2 linked regions of the Ovis aries genome follow. Each later gene encodes a partner of the first gene's protein in a complex. Links are inferred from orthologs where the notes say so. Each region holds a gene or a part of one and is shown in the gene's direction. Other genes may lie near its edges.

Evidence for each region. Proteins that work in one complex are often made in the same cells at the same time.
Region 2: the proteins of MFSD1 (region 1) and GLMP are in contact, whole or in part, in a cryo-EM structure (PDB 8R8Q), measured with the Mus musculus proteins. The link is inferred for Ovis aries from reciprocal best matches to the Homo sapiens genes MFSD1 and GLMP. Residues at the interface, in NP_080089.1 of Mus musculus: Val288, Glu292, Lys293, Arg295, Phe349, Phe351, Leu411, Asp412, Lys414, Gly415, Tyr416, Leu417, Leu418, Val421, Ile424, Ser428, Leu432, Val435, Leu439; in NP_064387.1 of Mus musculus: Glu250, Asn252, Ser253, Ile254, Asp255, Asp256, Glu257, Pro260, Ala261, Phe263, Gln264, Arg292, Phe364, Leu367, Val368, Ile371, Met372, Ala375, Ala378, Leu381, Met382, Gly385, Phe389.

Annotation. Positions count from the first base shown.
Region 1 is NC_056054.1:229,451,309-229,461,372, reverse strand, and holds part of MFSD1 (major facilitator superfamily domain-containing protein 1), read left to right. Parts: intron 1-1,410; coding exon 1,411-1,463; intron 1,464-2,362; coding exon 2,363-2,475; intron 2,476-4,072; coding exon 4,073-4,115; intron 4,116-4,418; coding exon 4,419-4,486; intron 4,487-6,706; coding exon 6,707-6,815; intron 6,816-10,064. UniProt on the Homo sapiens protein: Lysosomal dipeptide uniporter that selectively exports lysine, arginine or histidine-containing dipeptides with a net positive charge from the lysosome lumen into the cytosol.
Region 2 is NC_056054.1:106,293,236-106,303,951, reverse strand, and holds GLMP (glycosylated lysosomal membrane protein), read left to right. Parts: upstream 1-4,937; 5' UTR 4,938-4,970; coding exon 4,971-5,087; intron 5,088-5,539; coding exon 5,540-5,797; intron 5,798-6,006; coding exon 6,007-6,207; intron 6,208-6,331; coding exon 6,332-6,550; intron 6,551-6,939; coding exon 6,940-7,196; intron 7,197-7,310; coding exon 7,311-7,476; 3' UTR 7,477-8,857; coding exon of another isoform or gene 8,858-9,071; 3' UTR 9,072-10,004; downstream 10,005-10,716. Other genes in the region: TMEM79 (transmembrane protein 79), read right to left, coding at 8,858-9,071. UniProt on the Homo sapiens protein: Required to protect lysosomal transporter MFSD1 from lysosomal proteolysis and for MFSD1 lysosomal localization.

The DNA of each region.
Region 1 (10,064 bases):
GTCCCAGCAACTAATTTTTCCAGTAACATTCTGTGTCAGTATCAGCTTGGTGTGAAAGTAATAATGTATTTTTCGTGGACTCGCTTGATTTGGTGTAATCAACAGGTTTATGGTGGATACCTTTCTGCTACTGCTGGAATATATAAGTAGGCATGGAGGCTGCTTTGTGCTTTAGTTTCTTTGCATCTCTTTTTATTTCCCCTTCTTTTCACTTTGTGGAAAGATGGTGCCCATTCATTAATTTTGAAGCCTGACATTGATATTCCTTTGATAAGATATGATTCCTTTGACATTGATATGCCATTAAAACAGGATTCATAAAGTTCTGAGTTTAGGAACAAAAAATCGAGAACAACACAAAATACTTAAAATTGCCCCTACTTTAACAATTTATTTTTGGTGATTTTTATGTTTACCTTCAATGGGTTTCAGAAGCCAGAGTCATAACTTTTCTAATGACAATTTTATTTCTTTTGAACTGGTTGTTTCTGTGTATACTTCTAGACGGAGTTAGTGGAGAAACAGGGGCAGCATTATCTCCTGGCTTATCAAAACTCTGTTGATTTTATTACTGTAAAAAGTCCAACCTCTCTCCACTTCTTTCTTTCTGACCCTCCAGAAGATGTTACTATGTTTTAATTTAACCTTTTAGAACTCTGTTTTATTTTTCTTCATTCCTGGCTGTGTATCTGCTGAGTTATTTGATCTTGGATATACTGTTTGTGAAATTAGAATTCTTATTTTGAAAACAGATCTAATCAGAGTAGTTAAACTCCATTCCTGTGTGCTCAAGTGGTGGCTTTAGGTAACATTACTAGGAAACTACTGAGGATGTTTTGACGTGTGTGTGTGTGTGTGTGTGTGTGTGTGTGTTGGTAGCTTTAAGGAAAATATAGCTGTTTCATGAAGATGCTAATAAAACAATAGACATAGGAAACAGGATGAAAGTAAGGTGGAAAAGGGTCTTCCTCCGCCTGCAATGTGGGAGACCTGGGTTTGATCCCTGGGTTGGGAAGATCCCCTGTAGAAGGGAATGGCAACCCACTCCAGCATTCTGGCCTGGAGAACTCCATGGACTGTATAGTCCATGGGGTGGCAAAGAGTCAGACACAGCTAAGTGACTTTCACTTTCAAGGTGGAAAAACAGTTGTTGATTAACTTCTTAATCCAGGTTCCCAGTATTTGCTGTGTATGGAGGCTAATAATTTGTAAATCACTTGGTATGTTTTCTCTGGGTTATTTGGCTGCAACTTAGAAAGTATTAGTGGACAAGGAAGCAGTCCAAAAAGTTTCCAGTTTCTTTGAGTCCCTAGTATAAACATTTAAAATCACCACTGGAGTAGTAACTGCAACTTGAAACTTTTATATGGAAAGTATTACTAAAAAGAAATTTGCCTTTCCTTTTTCTAGGCAGCTACTTTTGCTATGATAATCCTGCTGCCCTTCAGATTCAAGTTAAACGGGTAAGTTGACTTTTCACCTGTTTCTTTTGTTGTCTCTGGAGCAGATATATAGCTGAAGCATCAACTCTCAGATTGCATGGTCCGAAACATTGTCTAATGAATCCATTTGAACATCTGTTGTCACCAAATCTGTGTAGGCAAGGAGTATTCTTGACTTGGAATGAGTGGCCACAAAGAATTCACTTATGGCACTTATGACTTAGTATTGTTTCATGCCTTAGATGAATAACTACTATTTCCACAGTGCAGCCCAAAAAGTATTGTGAATTTTTGTTGGCATTTCTCTCTCCCACTGTGTAATCATCAGAATGACAGATGATTTGGTAAGAGAGCATTTTGCTTTCTTAAGTATGTTATTGTCATTTCATTTTTAAAATGTGGATACTGATTCCAGAGGATTGTCTGTGTCAGTATTTTTGATATTTACAGTTTCCTATGTATTTAGATTTTTTTTTCCTTTGTAAGTTTTTTTTTTTTTTTAACATTTGGATAGGGAGAAACAACACAGATTGGCCCTTCACATTCTAGAATGAGTGAGAAAGACCAAGAATTAGTGAGGTAGGGGGAAAGGATATGCTAAAGATTGTTCTTTTTCATGTAGGTGAAGCCCTACAGCAGGTAGTACACAGGGAATAGAAAGGTAGAAGATACAAGCAGATGTAGGCAGAGGTGATCCCCATAGTGCAAGAGCTGATGGATGCTGAACCCCACGAGGCCTCTGAAATGACTGCAGACTCAAGAAGTTCCCAGGTGTGACCGTTTTTCTGGAGGTAGAGGCCAAAGCTGTTAGTAACAGTAAATGATTAAGAAATGCCTCCACTACCAGAAAGAATGTTTTGATTGTCAGTTGCTACATTTAACTGCTTTGAAAAAAATCATTTTGTTTTCTTTCCGTATAGGATATGCAGGTGAATACCACGAAATTCATGCTGCTGTATGCCTGGTATTCTTGGCCCAATGTAGTTTTGTGTTTCTTTGGTGGCTTTTTGATAGACCGAGTATTTGGAATACGGTAAGCTTGGGAAAAATCTCACTTATGGGTAAAGATGATTATTAAGAAAACATAAAACTAGATTAAGTATTTCTAGAAAGAACTGAATAAACTTTTATATTGAGTGTGTGACTCTGCATTTGTTTGTGTGTGTGTGTAATTTCGGTTTTTGAAACTTGGTTGGTATTTCAGTTAAATGCTGCTCATGGCATATGGTAACTCAGTTATCTAAAGGTAAATTATGCTCTCACTTGGAATCAGCAAGCCAGGTCTGATTTCTGTTGCTGCTACTTGCTCAGCTTCTTAGTTCTTCTGAGCTGTTCCTAGATTCCTGAGCCTCAGTTTTCTCATTGGTAAAATATGGATAGTATTTCCTGCCTTGCAAGGTGGTTATAAGGATTGAGGGAGATGGATGCGCAGTATTTGGCATGTGTTTACTGTTTACCTCTCCCAGCCCCAGTGAGATTTTCTCTTCTGCCTTTCTTTAGGCATTAAACTCTTTGTGACCACAGTTAGATGCTGAGGAAGGCATCACATTATTAGCTTTGTCAGTCTTCATCCTGATGATTGTGTGCTGTTTGTGGAGACTTTAGGAGGGATGTAGTCTGGAATATTTTCAGAAGGCAGAGGGCAAAATGACGATGGGCTTTCCAGCCGTGTGTGGTGAAAAAGAATTGAAGAAACTATATGTGTTTAAGCTTGGGGACTAACTTTTAAACACTCTGATGACTGTATAAAGGAGGACTTTAATTTGCTTGGTCTAAAGGGGTAGAATTTGCTTGAACTTGAAGGAAACAGATGCCATTTATGTGTGATGAAGATTTTGCTTGATCAGGATAACAGGAGAGGCCATGAGTTACTTTGGGAAAACTTTCAGTAGACTGTGGTATGACCATTTCACAAGGATTTTTGGAGGGACGTGGATTTCAGAAAGATGGTTTACTCATATGATCTTTAATGACTCTCCTAATACTGGTATTTTATTACTCTGGGGAAACATTAATGAGCTATTCAGAGTATGGAATGTTAGAGTAAGCAGATTTATATCATTTCTCATGGTCCCTGTTTTTCCTTTTAAAAATAGCTTTTAGTTATACAGAATTAATGGAGAAGGCAATGGCAACCCACTCTAGTACTCTTGCCTGGAAAATCCCATGGATGACGGAGCCTGGTCGGCTGCTGTCTATCAGGTCGCACAGAGTTGGACACGACTGAAGCAACTTAGCAGCAGCAGCAGCATACAGAATTAAAACCACTTAAAATTATTTAATATAGAATCCCTTGGAATCAACCCTAAACTCAGTAAAAAATTTGTGAAGAATGTCCATTTTTAAATGGGAACCCTGGGAACTTCTTGAACATTATTTAACAAGTTTTGTTTAAGAGATGATAATGGCTTAAACATGCCCTTACCAAAGCCTCTGGAATCCCTTTGGGATTAGAGACCTCTATGGATTAGCATTCAGCCTCGGAAAGCTGCTGATTTCAGAGGCCAACTAGAACCTCATTTTTCTTCCTTAGAGGGAATGCAGAAGAGTCTCAAGAAATCCAAAGTGAATTATTACTGAAGGATTTGGTGATAAACTCTTAATTCACTTTCTCTCTCTTTTTCTAACAGATGGGGCACCATCATTTTTAGTTGCTTTGTTTGCGTTGGGCAGGTAAGACAAATTGTTCACTGATTCACTGTGAACGCTGTCTCTTGAATTCTTGTCTACTTCACCAGCATGGATGTGTTTGGTGAAAGCCTAACTTGAGTAAGCAGAGTTCACAAATGCCCATGCGACATAATGCACAGTCCATTTTAAGCCTTGAGACAAATGAACATCGATACTTAAATTTCACAGATTTCCTAAGAAGAAACACTAAAATCATTGTAGAAGTTGTGTTTCATCATATGTTACTTATTTTGGATTCCTTGAATTTTCTTTTTCATTGATCCTACATTATATTCCATGTTATAGGTTGTTTTTGCCCTGGGTGGAATATTTAATGCTTTTTGGCTGATGGAATTGGGAAGGTTTGTGTTTGGGTAAGTTATGCATAATTTCATTTGTCTTAACAAATTACTGTTTTGGGGGCTTCCCAGGTGGCTCAGTGGTAAAAAATCTGCCTGCAGTGTAGGATAATTGCAGGAGATATGGGTTTGGTCCCTGGGTGGGGATGATCCTCTGGAGGTGGAAATGGCAACCCACTCCAGTATTCTTGCCTGGAAAATTGCATGGGCAGAGGAGCCTAGTGGGCTATAGTCCATGGAGCAAAGCATTGGACACGACTGAGCGACTGAACACACGCACACATTACTGTTCATCAATTTATTAAAGATTTGCCAGAATATATTATTGTATCTTCTGGAGAATTACTTCAAATCCTTGAAATCTACCTCTCTTTCTCTTTCTTTCTCTCTCTGTATGTGTGTGTGTGTGCATATATATATACACACACGGACACATACAACTGCTCAATTATTGTCTTAATTTTCCTTTCCAGTAAGCAACAATTTTGAGTGGTAATAATTAACTCTGTATAGGGTTTGAATATTAAATAGTTTTCCAGAGATGATGTTTTTCTTAGGTGTTTTGCTTTTCTGTTGTATTGAAGATTGTGATTTAAACCTCATGTAGAGAAGTATAGACTGTCAATTTCTAGCTTGGTGATGAATGGACATTTTGCTGTTTCTAATTGGGTAATGTGTAGGTCCTTTTGAATCATGTTGAAAAGACTTTAATGAGCAGATTACTAAAAGACCAATAGCTGTCAATGAATTTCCATGTCTGTTCTATAAGCTCATTCTCAATTCGGCCTTGGGCTTCCTGCCCGGAGGGATGCAGACAACCTAACTTACGCTTTTTACAGGTACCAGGGACATTTAGCCATAGGTGACACATCCCCAAAAGTGCTCTAAGTGAGGGAGAAGGGAAAAATGGTTTATTAAAATGTGAAAGGGACTCAGAGATAGATGTGTGATCAGAAATGGCCATCCATATAGGATGTGGATTCATAGAAGAGGGGAAATATTTTTAGATGAGGACAGTGGTGAGGAGGACTCAGTGTTTGGATGCAGAGAAGAGGAATCTCTTAGCTGAAGGTCAATATTTAGAACCTGCAGAAGGAAAATTAAAATCTGTAAAGTAGGAGAATGTCAAATATGGAAGATACTGGCCTAAAAAGTGTGAATCTATGTGTTTTCACAAAGTATGGACCACTCTTCCCAGATGAACATTTTATACAGCATAGATGATGATGTGGTAGCTCGAACCCCTTTTATTGCCAGGCAGAGTTGTCATTGCAGTATATTAAATTACCTGTACTTAGCAGTATAAAACTAGTAAATGCAGGTTTGTGTGCCTGATGCACAGTGAGGTACAGTGAAATGTAGGCGTTTAGAGCAGAGAAAGGTATATCGCAGAGCTATGCAAGGAGACGAGGTGGCTCATGCCCTAAAAAGCTTCACTCTCCTGGAAGGGTTTTGGCAAAGCATTTTAAAAGACAGACGAAGTGAGGATGTCTCAGGGTACCTGATCAGCTCATGCGCAATTCTGTTATTGGCTGATGATGGGTGGTGATGATGGGAGGAGTAGGGTGGTGTCACAGGGGTTAGCTGTATCAGCCCTTAGGCTCCCAGAGGCCTGGGCTGTGTGCTCATGGTCATCAAGTAGGTCTTCCTTTTGGTGGGGCCAGTTTTCACATCTGCAACACAACTCAGGAAATTTGTACCAAATACTATTATCTGTGTACTTCCGAGAGGAGCTGCAGCAGAGGATACAGGCAAAGGGCTGTCCCAGGAAGGCCCCATAGATCCTGGTCGGTTACAAAACCACCCTTACATCGTGGACTTCGTGGGTCAGGAATTTGGACTGGGTACAGTGTGGACAGTGTGTCTGCACCTGACGTCTGGAGCCTGGACCGGGGTGACTTGAGGACTGGCACTGCTGACTAGAGCACCTACACGTGGCCTCTCTGTGTGGCTTGGCTTTCTCATAGTGTGGCGGACTCAGGGTGCTTGGCCTTCTTACACAGTGGCTCAGGATTCTAGGTGTGAACGTTTGCGTGGAAAGGCAGATACCCCCTTTTCTATCCCAGCCCCACCTCCACCACCTTCTACTCATTGAAGCAATCACAAGTCCATCTAGATTCAGAGGAGGGGCGTAGATACTACCTCTTGACAGGAGGAGTGTCAAAATTTTATACCTGCTGCATTGCTAACTGTGGTATTTCTTTTAAAGCTGTGACTTTTCTTTCCTTGTTTTAGGATTGGTGGGGAGTCCTTAGCAGTTGCCCAGAATACATACGCTGTGAGCTGGTTTAAAGGCAAAGAGTTAAACTTGGTGTTTGGACTCCAGCTTAGCATGGCGAGAATTGTAAGTATGACATAACAAAGCCAAATAGGAAGCGAAAGATTGACTCTTGTAACCCTGTCTTAAAGATTACAGGATGAAGTATAGTTGTGTATAAGTTGTGTTGATTTTTTATATATTTTTCTAGACCATAATGTAGCATTTACCTTTAGTGAAGGCATTTCTAATCTTATTTCACCTAAGAGGAAGCAGTTTCAAATGCTAATTGAGCATTCATTAGTTCAGAGATTCTGAGCATTGGGACAGACGGATCACAGAGTTTTTATTCTTTACCCATTTTCAGCATTACTGCAGTGAAGGTCTTTATGTATGGTCATCCCGGCTCTGCTTGCACATTTCTAGTGCTAAGAAGCTCTGACTCATCTACTACAGTTAACTTTTTGTTTTTTAAACAAATTCTCAGAGTCGTGTCCCTTTATAAAAAGCGTCCAAATACATGATTATTATTCATTTGGCTGCCCTGGGTCTTAGTTGTGGCATACGGGTTCTTTACTTGCAGCACGTGAATTAAGTTGCAGCATGTGGATCTTAGTTCCCCAGCCAGGGATTGAACCTGGGTCCCCTGCATTGGGAGCATGGCGTCTTAGCCACTGGACTACCAGGGAAGTTCCAACTACAATTAACTTAGTGAAGCTCAGTCTCCCATAGAGATGAGATATGCCTGCACAAGTAGCTTTTACTGGTTGTTGGACTTCTGCCTTCTAGTGAGTGTTTATTTTCTGTCAGGCACTAGCATTTTGCTTACAAAGACAGATCTCAGGGTCTTGGTCAGACATACTCATTTCCTGTGCTTGTCTAAACCATGTGGCCTGGGTTTCAGTTCCCTGACTGTGGTGCTCCTGCCTCTCTGGACTTCACTGTGGTTGGTCATGCTTCTTCCAGCATTTGGAACGTGGAAAGGATCATGGTGTTTCATGATAGATGGTCTGGTAGAGGGTACCCAGGGGAGCAACATTCAGTTCAGTTTGGTCGCTCAGTCGTGTCCGACTCTTTGCGACCCCGTGAATTGCAGCATGCCAGGCCTCCCTGTCCATCACCAACTCCTGGAGTTCACTCAAACTCATGTCCATCGAGTCGGTGATGCCATCCAGCCGTCTCATCCTCTGTCGTCCCCTTCTCCTCCTGCCCCCAATCCCTCCCAGCATCAGAGTCTTTTCCAGTGAGTCAACTCTTCGCATGAGGTGGCCAAAGTACTGGAGCTTCAGCTTTTTTTTCTTTTTCCTTCCAAAGAAATCCCACAGCTGATCTCCTTCAGAATGGACTGGTTGGATCTCCTTGCAGTCCAAGGGACTCTCAAGAGTCTTCTCCAACATCACAGTTCAGAAGTATCAATTCTTCGGCGCTCAGCCTTCTTCACAGTCCAACTCTCACATCCATACATGACCACAGGAAAAACCATAGCCCTGACTAGACGGACCTTTGTTGGCAAAGAAATGTCTCTGCTTTTGAATATGCTATCTAGCTTGGTCATAACTTTCCTTCCAAGGAGGAAGCGTCTTTTAATTTCATGGCTGCAGTCACCATCTGCAGTGATTTTGGAGCCCCCCCAAAATTAAGTCTGATACTGTTTCCACTGTTTACCCATCTATTTGCCATGAAGTGATGGGACCAGATGCCATGATCTTAGTTTTCTGAATGTTGAGCTTTAAGCCAACTTTTTCACTCTCCTCTTTTACTTTCATCAAGAGGCTCTTTAGTTCCTCTTCACTTTCTGCCATAAAGGTGGTGTCATCTGCATATCTGAGGTTATTGATATTTCTCCTGGCAATCTTGATTCCAGCTGTGCTTCTTCCAGCCCAGCATTTCTCATGATATACTCTGCATGTAAGTTAAATAAGCAGGGTGACAATATACAGCCTTGACGCACTCCTTTCCCTATTTGGAACCAGTCTGTTCCATGTCCAGTTCTAACTGTTGCTTCCTGACCTGCATATAGGTTTCTCAAGAGGCAGGTCAGGTGGTCTGTATTCCCATCTCTTTCAGAATTTTCCACAGTTAATTGTGATCCACACAGTCAAAGGCTTTGGCAAGTTGTTATAAAGTCAACCTGGAAGGTGCTTTGGCTGTCCCAAACCCTGTTAGGTTTTTTTTCTCATGAACTTCCATGAATAGAGGTTTTTAAAAAGATTCTTGCCATTAAAAGTCAAGATTTTAAAGACTGTAAATGGCATGAAAATCCTTGGAACATAGTCTTAGGGAAGAAATCCATTACAAAAAAATGCAGTACAAATGAAATATTTTTAATGTAATGCTTCATCTTATGAGATATATTACACATATGTGTGTTGTATGTATATAAAACATTTCTAATTTTTGTACGCGTAGGCTTTTTCTAGTTTTCCAACATTATAAATAGAGCTGTTGTGCAGCAACACTCTAAAACTTGTCTGTATCTCTGATTGTTTCCTGAGGCTAGATTGCTTGGAATGGAATTATTACTGAGTCAGAGGGTTTGTTTGGGTTTCTTAGGACTGTTGAGACATATTTCCACCTTATCTTTTCAGAGATGTTTCTATCTCTGTCTTTGGGATATGAGAGGATCCTTCTTATTGTAGCTTTGATAGTGGAGGCTATTATTTTTAAAAAGTCATTTTGTCAATTGGATTGGAAACACCCAAATATTATTTTAATTTTTTACCTTTGATAACTTCCATGTTTTCTAAATTTTATCCACAGAGACATTGTGGGTGCTTCATAATGTATTTTGTGCAAATCAAGACATGTCTATAGCAGTTGGTGGATCTCATCATCCAGTAACTCCTAAAAGAAGGAAATAGGAGCAGCTGAGCAAGACTCATTCTCAGTGATGCCATTGTGATTACTAGTGATCTTCAGGTTCTTTTGTTTGTGGTCATAAACTATTTAATAATCCATTCACCTTAGTCCTGAGGAGCCCTAAGTTTCTCAAAAGGTGTCTCAGGGGCTTCTGTGATGCAGGGCTCATCGGATGGTAAGGGACCTGAGCTGGACGTGGAAAGAAACAGAGCTCAGGCAGTCACCTCTGCAACAGCGAGGGTGGCTCGGCTCCGGTCTGGATGGTGTATTTAGGGTCCTTGTGAGACGCGTGAGGCCAGAGGAGTCCATCACAGAGCCGCTGGTATAGATGGAGGTTCAGTCTTTTTTGTGTGTTTCTCGTGTCCCTGCACTTACTCAGAAGGATCGTGGAGGTTCTCGCTTTACCTCGTCATGATTTTTTGTTGGCTGAGTTGGGAGTTTGTCTAATTTTAGACACTTAGGCTGTTACCATTACCC
Region 2 (10,716 bases), about 120 Mb from region 1:
AGTAGGTGCCAGGGCTCTGGCGTTCATCCTGAAGAACACAGAGCATGTGTTTTTTGTACTGTATCCTGTAGCTTTCCAGAATCTTTGCTGTCCTACCTAGAATTCTTTCTCTGCTGTCTCCCAGGGTTCTTCCTGATTCCAGTCTGTTCTGGCTGGCTGGCTTATTTTCCTGGTGTGTTTGTGTCGCAGTAGGATCTCTACTTGCCCTGCTAACAGTAACAAAAGATGTCCCATTTTGTGCTTCATTTTTATCAAGACAAAAAAAAGTCTTGTGACCCTGAGACTCTGGAGGCTAGGTGGGGCTAGCCTTTGATTTCTTCAGAGACCTTCCTCTACGCTGTCCCATTCCTTCTGTCCTCATGACTCATGCCACCAGATTGTATCTCCTCCGTGACTACAAGAGTTAGTATTACTAAGTTTAATACCAGGTGGCATGATAATGGCTAGCACATAGTGCTTGTTGTAGAATGGGTATGTTTTGGTCACTTCGCATGTATTAGCCAGTCCTTAAAAGAACCCTGTAAGATGGGTAATAACCCTGTTTTATTAGGAATCCAAAGCATAAAGTAATTTGTCCAAGGGTCACAAAAATGATAAGTGGCAGGCCTAGAATTCCTGGGTAGATGGTCTGGCTCTAAAGTTGCATTTACAACTAGCAATGATGACTGAACAGAGGTGTGCTATGGAAAAGGGCCTGTGGAGATCTGCTCTCATCACACCTGGTATTTAATTTGCTGCTTAACCCGGTCTAAAATTTTGAGCTTTTCCTTTTCTATGAGAGGCTCTGAAATAAGCCTACCCACCTTTTGCTGAAATCCCTGCCTCTACATGAAGAGTTAATTCCGTCAAGAGTTTTCAGACATTAAGAAAGATAATGAGTTAATTCTCAAAGATCTTGAAGAGATGGTGCTTAAAAGACCTAAAAATAATGGAGGGAGGAATTGCCTCCCATTTGTTCTTTACACTTTTCTAGGTCCATTCTGGTTTTACATCTAATGGTTAAATACATGGATAATTAATTGTACATAGTATCTAACCTATGGAAATTCCTCCTGGAATGTTAGATCAATCTCTGTCCTTCATCAGAGCTTTCAGAGCCCCTTTGTGCTTTTCAAAGCCTAAATTTAAGTCATTAAAGTCTACCCAAGCAACTATGTTGCCTGCCTGGGCTCTAAAGTGATTCCATGAGCACAGTTTTTGCTGCCACCTTGACTTTGTCATGATTCTCTGGCAAATTCCTGGATTCAACTAAATTCTATTCTGCACCTGCCCCCTCATAAAGCAGTGTTTTGGGGATGGGAAGAGCCTTGAATCCTGTTAAACACCATGTACTCAGCCAAGACACTTTCGTATATCCTCACTTGTCAAGTCTACAGGTGACACTTGAGAGGGTGCAACTTTTTTTCTCAAGGTTTTTAAATTTGAAGTATAGGTGATTTACAGTGTTAATTCTATTGCACAGCAGGGTGACTTATATTGGTGTATATTCTTTTTCCTGTTCTGTTCTATTCTGCTCTATCACAGGATAGTGAGTGTGGCTCCCTGTGCTGTACAGAAGGATTTGTTTATGCATTCCACATAGAGTAGTATGCATGTTGCGAGTCCCAGACTGCCAATCCTTCTGTCCATCCTGACAACCATAAGTCCGTTCTGTGTGTCTGTGAGTCTGTTTCTGTTTCACAAGTATGTTCATTTGTGTCATTTTTCCTTTTCTTTTTTGGACGTGCAACACAGCATGCAGGTCCTTGCCTCTCTGGCCAGGGATCGTGTCCATACCCTCTGCACCGGAAGCACAGATTCTTAACCACTGGACCACACCAGGGAAGTCCCTTTGTAGATGTTTTTGGTGTGACATGGCCATGGTGACTGGTGTGTGTGTGTATCTATATATATAAGCTCATAGTTTATAATTTTTATTGGAGTATAGTTGATTTAATCTAGTTTTGATTGGCATTTCTTTAACAGTGTGATGAGCATGTTTTCATCTGCCTATTGGCCATTTGTATGTTTTCTTGGGAGACACATCTGTTCAGGTATTCTGCCCGTTTCAGTTGGGTGGTGTTTTCCTTGCAGTGGAGTTGTATGACCTTTTTGTATATTTTGGAAATTAATCGCTTGTTGGTCGCATCATTTGCAAATATCTTCCAGTACGTAGGTTGTCTTTTAGTTTTGTTTCTGGTTTCCTTTGCTGTATAGAAGCTTGTGAGTTTGGTTAGGTCCCATTTGTTCACTTTTGCTTTTATTTCTGTTGTCTTGGGAGACTACCCTGTGAAATCATCAGTGTGATTTGCGGCAGAGAATGTTTGGCATATGTTCTCTTTTAGGAGTTTTATGATGTCTTTAAATTGTCTGCCACCTCCCTAGTGGCTCAGATGGAAAAGAGTCTGCCTGCAATGCAGGAGACCCAGGTTCAATCGCTGGGTTAGGAAGATCCCCTGGAGAAGGAAATGGCAACCCATTCCAGTATTTTTGCCTGGAAAATTCCGTGGACGGAGGAGCCCTGGGGACTGCAGTCCTTGGGGTCACAGAAAGTCAGACAGGACTAAGCGATTTTCACATGCATATGTTTTCTGTAAGCCATTTGAGTTCGTTTTGTGGCTCAGCTGGTAAAGAATCTGCCTGCCATGCAGGAGACTGGGTTCAGTCCCTGGGTTGGGAAGATCCCCTGGAGAAGGGAAAGGCCACCCACTCCAGTATTCTGGCCTGGAGAACTCCATGGATTGTATAGTCCATGGGCTCGCAAAGAGTCAGACACGACTGACTTTCACTTTCACTTTGTGTATGGTATGAGGTGTGTTCTACCTTCTTTGATTTACACGAGACTGTCCAGCTTTTCCAACACAACTTGCTGAAGATGCTTTTCTTCATCCTATATTCTTCCTTCTTTGTCACAGATGAGTTGTCCGTAGGTGTTATGTGTTTACTTCTGGACTCTTGTTCCATTGACTCATATGTCTGTCTTTGTGCCAGCATCAGGCTGTTTTGATTACTGTAGCTTTGTAGTAGTGTCTGATGTCTGGGAGGGTTGTCCCTCCTGCTTTGTTCTTTTCCCTAAGGATTGCTCTGGCAGTTCTGGGTCTTTTATGGTTCCGTATAAATTTTAGGGTTTGTTCTAATTCCTGTGAGAAATGTCATGGCTAATTTGATAAGGATCACATTAAATCTATAGGTTGCTTTGGGTAGCATGGTCAGAAAAAAAAAATGAAAAATTTTAAGGAAACTTGAGTTTATCCTAGACTAGCCATCAGAGGGAAAAAAATGAAACTGGATCCTTTCTTTGTTTCTTACAGCAAAATTAGTTTCTGGCAACTGAAAGATTTAAATATAAGAGCACTAAAAAACCATGAGGTTTAAAAATACGCTCATCAGGATTTCCCTGATGGTCCAGTGGTTAATAATTTGCCTGCCAGTGCAGGGGACATGAGTTCCCTGGTCTGGGAACATTCCACATGCCTTGGGGCAGCCAAGCCTGAGCACAGCTACTGGAGCCCACACACAGCAACAAAGGCCCAGCACAGTCAAAAGTAAATCTTAAACTATACACTTAACATAGCAGGGGAATTCCCTGGCACTCCTTGAGACTCCATGCTTTCACTGCCAAAGGTGCAGGTTCCATCATGGGTCAGGGAACTTAAGATCTTGTGCTGTGTGGCAATAAATGAATGAATGATAGGGACTCAGAAAAATAGGCAAAAGGTATAAATAGTTCCAGGGAAGCAAAAATAAATGACTAATAAAACATGGAGAAGTGTTTCATTTTATTCATCGGGAAATGCAAATTGTTTGGTAAGCACTTGTCAAAGTGTTGGGGAAATGGGCCCTCAAACATGGTGTAATCAATTGAACTTCATAGAAGGCAACTGGAGGCAATTCTGCTCCTGAGTATTAATCTTACAGATTTGGTTACAAATATATATGAAATGCTGTTCATACAGGGATATTCTTTTCAGTGTTTTTTGCCTGTAGCAAAATGTTGGATACTATCAAGGTTCTGGCTAAGTATATCCGTGGAATATCCCCCTTGCAATGAAAGACTGGAGAGAGGCAGAATAGTCCTCAATATATGTGAAAAAAATTTCTAGACAGTGGATTCCATGGTATCTTATTACCCACATGTGTGTATATAGTAGTAGTAAATATGTATGTATATATGCAGTCCAGTGGTTAAGACTGCTTCCACTGCAGGGCATGGATTCAATCCCTAGTTGGGGAACTGAGATCCCACATGTCATGTGGTGTGGCCAGAAAAAGGAATACATAAACATGAGCACACAGAATATTTTAGGAAGGACACATAAGAAACTGGTAATAATGGTTGTCTCAAGGAAGGACCCAGGTTGCTGATATCCTCTGGTACTTTATAAATACTGTACCGTGTGCATTTTTTCTTAGCTAAAATGACTAGGATTAAGAAAAACCAGAAGCGCGTTCATTCAGCCAGGCATGCTCTGAGTTATGTATTCAGTTCTATGACAATTGTGTATCACTTTCATGTCTTGTTTTCTGAGGTTTCTTTTCTGCACAGTAAAATTGTGAGCTGTCTTCCAAGACAAGACCCTGCATAGCCAGGGGCTCAATAATTATTGATAACTGACAAAAAGAACCCTCTGAGATGTGCTATTCCCCCACTGAATTGTTTCAAATTATCTGTGCCTTCCCTGCCACAGTCTTCCTGTAGATTCCATTGGATGTTTGAATCCAGATATCATGCCCCCTTGTAGATAACTTTAGTGGAACCAGTTGGGTAGGAGAGGTTAGGAGTGTGTCTGCAAATCTAGTCTAAGACGGCTTACTTGCCAGCTCAGGTGTGGATGACAAACTCCTAACCTTTCTGATTCTATTAAGTCAAATACGGAAGGGAGGCGGACTCTTTAAGAACTGTTGTGACAGCCCCGCCCTTTTAAGAGATCAGCTGAATCTGTGAGTCACATGACTTCAGCGTCTCTTCCGCTCTCTGAATTCGGGACCACATGAGCGGCTATGAAAAGCCTAGCCGGGGTTGGGGGTTCTGTGCCCCCAGCCCCGTGCTCCTCCTGAGTCTACTGACGGCAGCTCCGCTTGGCCTGCTGGGGGAGGAGACCCGCCAGGTGAGGGGCTAGAGCAGTAGGTGTTTCAGCATATGCTGCCTTGAAGGGTGGTTGGAATCTAGGACAACGGAAGGGTGGGGATGAAAGGTGCTTGCGTTGAGGAATCGGGGCAGCCGTGGGTCACGGTACAGGACGATGGAGTAGGACGGATGTGGTAGAACCTGGACCCTGACCTAGCCCTGAGTGAGCCAGGTCCAAGCAAGTGTTGCATTTTTTCCTTCCTCTCAGCCGTATGCCCTGACCTCTCCACCAGGGTTAGGGCATTTTGGGCTCTCCCTGCTTCTCCTCCAGCCCATGTCTGCCCTTGACAGTAAGGTTCTCTTAGCTCCCACAAACATTCCTCTTGCACTCTTTTCCCATCATTTTGCAAGCCCCCTGTCATCCCCAGACATCTTTGTCCTGTGTCTCTCCCTGACCCTCTTCTCCTGACCAGCCTCTACTCCTTGTTCCAGGTGTCTCTGAAGGTCATCTCTAACGTGCCGGACTTTTCCCAGAACCTGCTTCATATTCGGGCAGTGGGCACCAACTCCACGCTGCACTATGTGTGGAGCAGCCTGGGTCCCCCAGCAGTGCTGTTGGTGGCCACCAACACCCCCAACAGCACCCTGAGTGTCAACTGGAGCCTCCTGCTCTCCTCTGATCCTGACGGGGGCCTGATGGTGCTCCCCGAGGAGAGCATCCAATTTTCTTCTGCCCTTGTCTTTACCAGGGTGAGGAGGTTGGGGGAGATCCAAGGGGAAGAGTGCAGAGGAGAGGGTTCATTCCAGTTAGAGGGAGAAATTGAAGACTGGGAGTAGGTGAAGTAGAGTCATGTGCGAGAGCCTGGGGTGGGGCCAGTGAGTGCGGGGTGGTGATTCAGGAGAAAGGTGGACTCGGGCAAACCTTGTCCCTCCCCACCCCTCCCCCTCTCCCCCCACAGCTGTTTGAGTTTGACAGCACCAATATGTCCGATGCGGCCTCAAGGCCTCCAGGAAGATCATATCCTCCGTACTCCTTGGCCAATTTCTCCTGGAACAACATCACTGACTCGCTGGATCCTGCCACCCTCAGTGCCACATTTCGAGGCCACCCCGTTCACGACCCCACTGGGGCTTTTGCCAATGGCAGCCTGGCCTTCAGGGTAAGGATATAGGGAATTTGAACTCGAAAGGCTGGTTTATGAGGGTGGGAGTTAATGATAGGGGTCGCCTTCAAACACAGGCATCCACCCGCTTCCCACTTCTCCCATGCCTCTTCCATCTTAGGTCCAGGCCTTCTCCACATCCGGCCGACCAGCCCAACCCCCTCGCCTCCTGCACTCGGCGGACACCTGCCAGCTAGAGGTGGCCCTGGTTGGGGCCTCTCCCAGGGGAAACCGCTCCCTGTTTGGGCTGGAGGTAGCCACCTTGGGCCAGGGCCCTGGCTGCCCCTCAATGCAGGAGCAGCACTCCATCGATGACGAGTACGCCCCCGCTGTCTTCCAGGTGAGGCTTCCGGCAGAGAAGCAGACAGGTGGGGGTGTGAAAGGGGACTCTATCATTCAACAACTCACTGTTTAGCAACACCTCATTCAGTTCCTTTAAGTGCTGAACGCTCTGCTAATGAATTTAGCCCAGAGGAAAGGCGGCGCAGCGTGACTATTGCTCCAACCGGTGGGCTGCGCAAGGGCCTGGGGTCCCAGAGTGGGGAGCTGGTGCAGGCTTGCTGAGTGTTGAGACTGGGAAAGGACTCGGCGCCACCCAGCTGCGAGTTCTAGAACCAGGCCTAGGATTCAGGACCGCTCGTGACAGAGGGAGGCTGTGAAAGGGCGGGGGAACAGAATGGCCAAGTATCTTCTGTCCTCCTCAACCTGTGTGTTTGCATTTCTCCTCAGTTGGACCAGCTGCTGTGGGGCTCCCTCCCATCAGGCTTCATGCAGTGGCGACCAGTGGCTTTCTCCCAGAAGCAGGGCAGCCGGGACTCCGCCATGCCCTGCCAATCTTCCCCACTTCACCCCACCTTGGCATACCTTCTCCCCCAGTCGCCCATTGTCCGAGCCTTCTTTAAGACCCAGGACCACTCCTGTGCCTTCAATCTGACATTTGGGGCTCCCACAGGCCCTGGCTACTGGGACCAACACTACCTCAGCTGGTGAGAGTCGAGGCCTGGGCTGTGGGTTTGGGAGGTTGCAGAGGAGGAAGGCTAGGCCTCTCAGCCTTCCCTCCTAAGCCTGACTCTCTCTCTCTCTCACTCTGCTTGCTCTAGGTCCATGCTCCTGGGTGTGGGCAGCCCTCCAGTGGATGCCTTGTCCCCGCTAGTCCTAGGCATCATGGCAGTGGCCCTAGGTGCCCCAGCACTCACGCTGCTGGCAGGAGGCCTGTTTCTGCTGCTGGGCCGCAAGCGGGACTCTGAATACCAGTCCATAAATTGAGGCCTGCTCTCTAGAGGAAAGGACATTACTGGACCTGCCTTGCTGGTCTGCAGGTTTGAGGGTCAGTATTCCCAGGCAGCTCCTCCTCTTTTGTATCTTCCTGTTCGGTAGAACCTCGGATCAGCCTCAACTTCCTGGGGGACCCAGGTGGGGCTTCCTTCCAACTCTGAGGAGGGACCAGACACAGAATGATTGCCAGAGGGAGGGTCCCCTCCGTGTTGCCTCCCTGTTCCTCCACCATCCCATTTCCCTTGAATGGGACTCACAGGCCTAAATGAGAGAGGCCTTCTGACTGTTTGCTGCACTGGAAGGCATGAAATAGAATAGTTTTTTTTTTTTTTTCCACAGGGCTTGTCTCTCAATGTGGTGCATTGTTGGGCAGGTTTGGACCTGGTTCCAGGGAATGAGAGGGCTGGAGGTGGGGCGTGGAAGGCAAGTTCTTTTTGAAGCCCCATTTCCTCATCAGGCTTAGTTCTCTCCCTTGCCATGGGACCAGGCTCCTGCCAGCCACTCTTCAATATGTGGAGCTGGGAGGTTTCTGGTGCAGTTTGAATCAAACAAGGAAGGGACACTTGAGGTTGAGGGGCAAACCCTACGGAAGAGCCAAGAAAGACTGTGGTATTAATCATTTATTATTATATACACATTCAGACGGGTTTAACATCAACCACCATGCTTTCCAACCACTCCCAGCCATGTGCGTGTGGGCATGCACGCACATACACACACACACACACACCTCTTAGGAAGCAGGTTTCCCTGTCTGCTCCTCTTCCCACAGGAGAGAGATGACTGGGCACTTTGGAGGTGCAAAGTTACAGGGACCTAAAGGGTTGGAAGAGAGGAGTCAGCCACTCTGGGCTGGAGCAGCTGTAACTGACTTGGCTGAGGCTAAAGGGCCTAGGAAGGCCAGTCATGGAGGGTCCTGAACCCAGGTCCCCAGAAGGGTTTTCACCAAACAGGAAAGTCCTATTTGATGTGATGCCCAGCCTTTACCTAAGACATAGGCAATGTTTCCAGTCTCTTGGAGGCCCTCTGCTTAGACAGCCAGCACAGAAAAGGTCAGAGTTTCGGCTGTGCTCTGCCAGCTGCCTCAAGCAGGAGGCTGCAGAGTGGGCAGCAGAGTCCAGTCTTTGTGGACCCTGGTGGCAGCAGAGGCTACTAAGGAAGGAACCATGCCTCTGCCCCTGGTCCCATGTCCTCAGCATTCTTAAGGAACATGGCTGTCCACCTCTTTCCCTGAAAGACTGTTTAAGTCCCTCCCACATAATTGTCCCAGGCTCCTAAGATGAAGGGAGCACCCCACACTCTGATTGGATGGCACCCCTGTCGGGGCAGTAGGTGGGTTCATCCCACCCAGGAACGAAGGGGGTGGGGCAGCTCAGCCCCGGGAGCGGGGCCTGTAGTCTGAGGCTGAGCGGGCATGGTCAGGGTAGTCCAGGCGGCTCTCGGAGGCAGTGAGCATGCGTTCAGGCTCCACCACGAACATGTAGTAGAAGTTCCACATCAGCATGGACAGCAGAGGCAGGAACGTCAGGCCGTAGCCAAAGCCTCGGAAGGAGCGGCCCACAGCGAAGGTCAGCCAGTATATGAGCCTGGGAGGCAAGAAAAGGTCGAGCTTTCCTTGAGGGGAGTGCATCAGCTAACAGGTTGATGATAGGGAGAGTGGGAAGTGAGGGAGGCAGATGGGGGTTGGCTGGCACAACTGATACCTCTAAAAACAACCAGTGTTCACGCACTGACGTATGTGCCGGGCACGGTACTAATTACTTTAGGGGCACTATTTAATTTAGACCTCACATCTCTATGAAGCGTGCATATTATTCACCTGCCTCTTTGTATACTTCTCAAATTCGAATTAAAAAGTTTTGAGTAGGCAATATACATTTACACGGTTCAGAATTCAAAGGCACCAGTGAATGTAGTAAAACGTTTTCCTCCACTGATTCCCAGATACTCTGTTCTCTTCTTCACCTCCTCACCTCTATTCTACTCCCACCCCAGACATCATCCATTATTATGGCTTCTCGTATGTCGTGAAGCTTTCTGTGTATATAAGCAAGAAAACTTATGTTTTCCTCCCCTGCCTCTTTTTTTTTTTTTTTTTTTTGAGGTTTGGGAGCATACTATTCCATGGGATCGCAGAGTCAGACATGACTGAGCGACTGAACTGAGCATACTATAGAGACTATTCTGCACATTGACTTTTTCCCCCCATTTAATGCATCTTGGAGATTATGTCATTGTGTGTGTGTGTGTGTGTGTGTGTGTGTGCGCTCAGTTGCTCAGTTGTGTCCGACTCCTTGAGACTCCATGGGCTGTAGCCCACCAGGCTCCTCTGTCCATGGAACTTTCCAGGCAAGAATACTGGAGTGGGTTGCCATTTCCTCCTCCAGGGGATCTCCCCGACCCAGGGATTGAACCCACATCTCCTGCATCTCCCACACTGGCAGGTGGATTCTTTGCCACTGACCCACCTGAGAAGCAATTGTGTCGTATCAGTGTATAAAGAGCTTCATTATTTCGCAGCTACAGTACATTCCATTGTGTTTATTTCCCTTTTTGTAGATGGAGAAACTAAGATTCCAAAAGATTAAGACGGGTCCAACGTCACATATGGGGAAACAGTAAAATCATGATTTGAACCCATGCCTGTTCATCAGCCTCTCTCCTGCCATTTTACAGGGGCTGAGGGAAAGAAGAGAGTAAGGAAGCCAGCTTCAAGAGAGCTTGAGGACCAGAGGGATGAATCAGGCGCAACTAAATTTCCCCTTTTGGAAGATCCATCCAAATATACACACCCCTCAGTGGGAGGAGGGCAGCAGTTTCCTCTTAACTTACAAAGGACCATCTATGACAGAATTGAGATGCCCCTATATTTTTACCTTTGTAATAAAGGGAAGAGTACATGCTGCCAGTAACTTGCCCATAAAGAAGGACCCTGGGTGAGAGAGGGAAGGGACTTGGGTTCTAGTCCTGCCTCTGCTGACAGACCTATGCAACTCTTCTCACCGAGTCTGTAGTTACTTCCTCTCATAGTCATTTTTTCTCTGTAAAATGGGTAAGATGGCCCAGACAACCGCTGGTCCTTTAGCTCCCTGATGATTCTTACTGCTTAAACCAAAGTAAACCAACTTCTTGTCTGAGATCAGCGTTCCCTGAGAAGGAGATGGGAGGTTGAGTTACATGAACAGGAACGTATTAATCTTGGAAAACATCCACGGGAAGAACACGCACGGC